Linked DNA regions of Saccharomyces cerevisiae S288C. Changing the gene in region 1 together with any one later gene gives a genetic interaction. Each region holds a gene or a part of one and is shown in the gene's direction. Other genes may lie near its edges.

Region 1 (3,761 bases):
AAAAAAAAAAAGGAAAGACAATACGCTTATATTTGTCACGTATACCTACTATTTGATTTATGTACGTTTTATATACAAATTGCATTTACTATTTATAAAATAAATCATTAACTATAATACTCTAACTGAATGTTTTAGGATCTTCTCTATTAAAAATATACGTGGAAAACGACTATGGCTGCCCGAGAGACTAAAAAGGAAAGAGCGAGGGATATAACAATAGCAGTCATTACTGGTGATAATAATGACATAAAAGAATTACTGAAGGAGGCAAAGTATATACTGTCAAGGGTATAATGGTGAAAGTAACTGCAGCTTGTATCATAATTGGTGATGAAGTGCTGAATGGAAAAGTAGTTGATACAAATTCCACTTTTTTTGCGAAGTATTGCTTTGATCATGGAATTCAATTAAAAGAAATTGCAACTATAGGGGATGATGAAACCCAGATCGTAGATACTGTGAGAAGATTAGTCAAAAATTATGATTTTATCATCAGTACAGGTGGAATCGGCCCCACTCATGACGACATCACTTACGAATGTATGGCGAAAAGCTTTAATTTGCCTTGTGAACTAGATGAAGAATGCAAAGAACGAATGAGGCATAAATCTGACCCTGAAGCAAGGCTTGATGCAGATGCTCTAAAGGCGCATTACCAAATGGCAACCATGCCAAAAGGCACAAACGTCAAAAATTATTATGTGTGTGATGACTTGTGGGTACCTATTTGTTCTATATCTCACAAAATGTATATACTACCCGGTATCCCTCAACTATTTGCAAGGATGCTGAAAGCGTTCACTCCCACGTTGAAAAAAATATATAATTTGGACAAGGATCCACGTGAGTATGTTCGTTATTTTGTCAGAACACACCTAACTGAGTCTCAAATTTCTAAAGAGCTAAAGTTGATTCAGGATGAATCAACAAAAGTTTCAGAAGCCATTAAAATAGGCTCATACCCACATTTTGGTATGGGATTCAATACAGTTAGTATTTTGGGTGAAAAGAAAGACGATTCATATCTGAAGAGTATTGTCAATAGAGTTGTTAATAACCTCGAGGGAGAAGTAATTTCTTCTGAACTTGAAAACAAGTTCTCGAACCAGGAGAGCTGAATACCCGAGTATTTAGAACTATGTATAGATATAGATTTTTTTTTTGGGAGCAAAGTCATCTCAGTCATCGCCGGTAGTTGCGCTTTCTTCTCAACAAAAAAGTACACTGCTCGTGGTAGAAAGGTACCTTGAAAAATTAAAGATCACATTGCTACTGTTAGAGCTTCAATCGCTAAAGTAAACATTTGAAAAATGCATATCCGAAAGGACCAAACCAGCAAAAGGTATATAATTCATTCAATAGATACAACTGCTCCATGAAAGGAAAAACCTTCATTTACGGTCGCGTTTTTTTTCGTGATATAAAAAAGGTAAAAAAAACGCGTCGCGTTAGAAAAAAGGTGTGTGTGAAGAGAAAGACCCATTGAATGGAGAGTTCGGTTCTTGGGAATTGCACTGAGCCGTGGTGAGTTTGTTGCTTTACTACATCTCTTCTTTTATAAGCAACGCTTAAGCTGAACCTAGTCAACACACATAACTGAAGTCAATTTGACCAGGTGCAACTGAAACCTGGATTGGAATTGGTATTCACTTGAACAAAAGACTCTGGTAAAATGTCTGAACTCTCTCAAATGACATTGAAGATCCTTTACACATTGGATAATGGATCCAATGGTAGTTATTTAGCCCGCTCAAGGGCTCCAAAACAGGTAAGAGTTGCTAATATTCCTAGTCCATTCCCGACAGATTCGAATGAGCAAACGGAGTTGCGAATTGGCGCCATCCATTTGAAGACTATACTGCATGAAATATACTTAAATTCACCTGAAGTGTTAGACCATGACACTTTAAAAGATGGATATGATTATAACTTGTATTATCGTGACATATGTGAAGTGGATGAGCCATTAGTAAGCCTTGGTCTTCTTTCCGGGCTTCGAAAAAAGTTTCATAAGAATAGCCCCTACCAGTATACAGAAAACAATATTGGTGAAGAAGAAAGTGAAGAGAGAGATGAGGTAACTGAAGAAGAGTATGAAGATGAATCTTTTATAGTTACTGGAAGGGTATGCTCGAATGTTTCCGCTTTACTACGAAGATCATATAGCAACATCTCGAATAAAAAGGGAAGGGTCGTAAACAACCAAATTCCGGAAGAAACTTTGGAGGTTAAACTAAGATTCACAAAAGTTATAACCAATTTAAGGACGTCTGGTAACAATACTACAAATTCTCGGATATCGTGTCTTCAAATGCCGTCTTCTTTACCATCAGCAACACTTCCGTTTACCCCAAAATCGCAATCTCTTTTCAAGACAAACCAAATAAAAAATTCAAGGAATGCAAGGACCACGATAACAATAAATAATACTAATAGCGGGACTGTGGGAAGAAGACAGACGAATCCTATGCCTGCTCCAAAAGCTGTCAGAACTCAGTCTTTACCCATCTGGAATCTTAAACCAAATATAGCGAATACTGGTTTCCCAAGAAATTCAATTGCGCACAAAATCTACTTAGCAGATAGAAAAACAGAAGCCAATCAACAAAACAACCAGCATCAAAACATAGCTTACGAAATAAATACTTTGCAAAACGATAATACTATTCAGAGGACCAAGATCGATGATTCGGTAAGCAAGAGGTTCGATTTTATGCTCAACAAAAGAAAGTCTACGAAAAAAGTGTCACCTGGTATAGCAACGATAGCAAAAAAACCAGCTTCAATAAACATAAATCCAAAGCAACCGCCGAAGACTAGTGGTGAAAAAAAAGCAAATGATAAGCAAACGATTGTCAAAGTTAAGAATTCGAATTCCAAAAATTCGGCTAAGTCTACACAAGCAGGATGTAGGCGATCATCAGTGATAGAACATTTAAATGATCATGACGATTCAATTTTAAGTGACATTCTATCGGAACCAGGCATTGAAGGGCAGAAATTGCAGCAAAAACAAAAGGGGCGTAAGATATCTTTAACTAGTGAAAATGATAAAGAAAATATTCCACCCCAAAGCATAACTAGTAAAGAGAACAAGCTTGAAGGTGACTTGGATTTTAACGCTGAGTTCCCCATGAGTGACTTTTCGGATGTAGTATTTAAAGATGAGATGGGATGGTTTTCCAATTTCAATTGCAATTTTTTTGAATCACCAACTTCTGCAAGTGCATCACAACTCAATCAGCAAAATTTGAAGCCTTCTATAACACTCAACGATCCAAACACCTGTAACACCATTGCTCTCGAAAATGAAGATGTCAGTGAATTGGAAACAGCGCAAAATAATAAAATATCTTTGCCTAGCGATGTTGACAAAACCTCCCCAATAGACTCGTTGTCTATACCTTTAATTGAACTTACACATTCAAGCTCGACAACAAACATGCAGCGTATATCCATTAAAGAAGGATCGACACTAAATATAACAGATAGTAATAATGCCACCCCATGTGATAATGATATAAAAGATAGAAAGGCATCTGTAATAGATTCGGACAATACAAAACCTCAGGCAGGGCTTATAAATTTCTCTACTCCAGCTGACCAGCCAGCTTCTGATAATAATGTTACAGCTTCGAAAAAGCTTACTAGCATGCTGGAAACTCAGCAAAGTAAGAGATCTCATGAAGAAGTTTTGGATGAAGAGGAAGAGGAGGAAGCCCTCAAAAAGCAAAAGGCAATACCGTCTTCACCATGTG
Region 2 (3,414 bases), on another chromosome or scaffold:
TCACCCATGGGATCTCTATCAAGGCTAAAGCAGAAGGGTGTGGACAATTTTCAGAAGGTGAAAAAATCCGGTAAATCCATCTATAATTACAACTACTCAAAATTCGTTCCTCATCCATTTTCAACTATTGATGAAAGTGTTAAACACTCTGAAAGTGGGCGGTATGATGATTTGGAGATAATTCGTCCAACAAAAGAAAAGGAAGTAACAAGTTCTGTGTACAAAAGAAACAGTGGCAAGTCTCTGAATACAGAATCTCAGTTTTCACTGGGAGATTCAGATGCAGCCACTTTGGTGAATTCAGTCGCTACTTTCAAGCTTAACAATGCTTCTACATCCACTTCACTGGTGTCTTCATCTTCAACTGTATGTTCTCAAGCGAAGTCCTCGTTACGTTCCCCAACAAGTCGTCTCAATGATACAAAAATCAAAGAGGAAAACAATTATATTTCCAGCGTGAAAGACTATTGCGGTCCAATGAGAAAATCCATGGTAAAGACGGAAATCCTCATTGAAGAACCTTTGAATCCTACTACCGATATCAAGTCTTTTATAAACTCATACAACCATGGCAAAGCGTATAGTCTAGGTGAAACTCAACATTTACATTATTATCAGTTGCCATTCCCATGGAGGGAAAACAGATACATAATCCATGGCTATAGGTTTTACAATACCCATTCCAAATCTTTGTTGTCTATCTTTAACTGGTACGGCTGGCATAATGAAACTTCAAATATTTGGTCTCATTTGTTAGGAGCCATTTATATAATCTACTTGGCAATTTACGATTTCCCTCAGTCTGAAGTTTGGCGGAATTCCCAGGTTCCACCACAGGCTAGATGGATTGTTTTCATGTTTTTGGCAGCTGCGTTGAAATGTATGCTAAGCTCCGTGTTTTGGCATACTTTCAACGGAACGTCCTTCTTGAAGCTACGTTCTAAATTTGCGTGTGTCGACTATAGCGGTATTACGATCTTAATTACAGCTTCGATATTGACAACGGAGTTTGTTACCATGTATTCATGTTACTGGGCGATGTACACTTACATGAGTATTTCTCTGGCGCTGGGTGTATTTGGTGTGTTTATGAATTGGTCGCCTCGCTTTGATAGACCTGAAGCAAGGCCATTAAGAATTAGATTCTTCATTTTGCTGGCTACTATGGGTGTATTGTCGTTTTTACATTTGATATTTTTGACTGATCTTCATTATGCTGCAACGCTATTTAGCCCCGTCACATACAAATCTGTTGTTTGGTATTTGGTTGGTGTGGTATTTTACGGTTCGTTCATTCCTGAACGGTTCAGATCTGACGTTCAGGTTGATAAGACCATTCCAACAAACTACGAATTATCTACTGATTTAGAAATCATCACAAAGCAAAGGGAAATTCATTTTAGAGAGGTGCCAACAGCCCATTCCAAATGCAGTTCCTGTCCGTCTCATGCCAAATCATTTAAATCTCTATGGTGGGTTGACTATTTTGGTTGTTCGCACACTTTTTGGCATTTCTTCGTAGTGTTGGGTGTCATCGGCCATTATAGAGCTATTTTAGATATGTTTGCCAAGAGGTGGATTTTGTCATGATGGTATGACTGACTACCTTTACTTACAACATCCTGCACTTTTTCTGTATACGATAAACGGACTTAAAAGAAAGAAAAGCCTACAATTACATTGTTGGAGAAGCCACATAGCAATTTCGAAAAAAACCAGAAATTGTAAACCACGAATTCTCCTGTATTATTTCATTGTTAAAATTTTTTTTTTACTTATATTATACCCATCTTTTTCGATATTCCTGCTGGCATTGTTTTGGCTACATTTTCAAGAAACTTTGGATCCAAAGACAAAAGGAACAAACGAAATCTAAAAGCAAAAAAAAAGTTGACTGATTATAAAAACTACATTACGACGAAAAGAAAATAATAAAACTGTGTACTTTTAGTTTTGCATTTATGTATTGACTGTTATTTAACTTATTATGACCTCATGAAAGAACAAAACTTAGCGTGTATTGTTCTGCTCAGTGCCTTGTATATATAATAATGTTCATGAAAAAATTTTTCTAGGCCGAACTTAAGTGATTTCATGCAGTAGTAAAAGTTTTTAAAATTTTTACTAAAATAGTTCTGAGAAAGAAAAGGTAAAACACGCAATGCCTATCAATCAACCGTCGGGACAGATTAAGTTAACTAATGTTTCATTAGTGAGATTAAAAAAGGCTCGCAAGAGATTTGAAGTCGCGTGCTACCAAAATAAGGTCCAAGACTATCGAAAAGGAATTGAAAAAGATCTGGATGAAGTGCTGCAGATACATCAAGTTTTCATGAATGTTTCGAAAGGCTTGGTTGCTAATAAGGAAGATCTACAAAAGTGTTTCGGGACTACAAATGTTGATGATGTCATCGAGGAGATCATGCATAAGGGAGAGATTCAATTATCGGAAAAAGAAAGACAATTAATGCTTAATAAAGTTAATAACGAAATGCTTACAATAGTTAGCGCTAAATGTATAAATCCTGTGTCAAAGAAAAGATATCCGCCCACAATGATCCACAAAGCTTTACAGGAACTGAAGTTCAGCCCTGTTATTAACAAACCTGCCAAATTGCAAGCTTTAGAGGCTATCAAATTATTGGTTTCTAAGCAAATTATTCCAATAGTAAGGGCGAAGATGAAAGTCAAAGTGGCCATAAGTGAGCCATCTAGACAACCCGAACTTATTGAGAAGATTAGTAAATTGATAGCTTCATCGCCTGGAGAGTCAACGAAGCCGGAATTGGATCCTTGGACATGTACAGGTCTTATCGATCCTGTCAATTATAGAGATTTGATGACCCTATGTGATAAAAAGGGAACTGTGCAAGTCTTGGATATGGCAGTCATAGATAATACAACGCATAACTAATTTATATAGAATCACTTTGCATACATATCTTTGATACACTTTAACACAAAAACTAATTTGCCAAAATCATTATCGTCAGCGCTTTGTTCCTTCGTTGCTCTCCATATCTTACTGCTCATGGATATCAGCAAGCTGAATTGCATGTTGTCTTGGGCCATCGTACCGCTCACTTCTGGTAGAATAACTCTCCTATATAGTTCGGCAATCTGTACGCATACCACGGGTACTTTAGGATCGGCACTATCTCCCAACTTGGTAACCACTTGATAATCAGATAAATGGTCTCTTACAAATTCTTCTTCCTCATCGTCATAATCGCCACCCGTGTTTCCTAGGTTTCCTGCCAGTGGTACGTTGATATCGAGAATTGGGTTTAGTCCTTTTGAAGATACCTCATAGGTGGAATCCATTTCCCCATTTAGTCTGATTTGCAATAGAATTGTGTTATTAAAGTGCGTGGCTTGTACATACAATTCTTTGTTTTCGGATGAAGCGTTCAA

Evidence for each region.
Region 2: mutations in SPT21 (region 1) and SDO1 impair growth when combined (synthetic growth defect), as found in Saccharomyces cerevisiae (one study listed by BioGRID).

The regions. Positions count from the first base shown.
Region 1 is NC_001145.3:618,183-621,943, forward strand, and holds the start of SPT21 (Spt21p), read left to right. Parts: upstream 1-1,675; coding exon 1,676-3,761. Other genes in the region: FPY1 (flavin adenine dinucleotide pyrophosphatase), read left to right, coding at 297-1,121. UniProt on the Saccharomyces cerevisiae protein: Required for normal transcription at a number of loci in yeast.
Region 2 is NC_001144.5:183,674-187,087, reverse strand, and holds SDO1 (guanine nucleotide exchange factor SDO1), read left to right. Parts: upstream 1-2,161; coding exon 2,162-2,914; downstream 2,915-3,414. Other genes in the region: IZH3 (Izh3p), read left to right, coding at 1-1,590; IRC25 (Irc25p), read right to left, coding at 2,926-3,414. UniProt on the Saccharomyces cerevisiae protein: Involved in the biogenesis of the 60S ribosomal subunit and translational activation of ribosomes.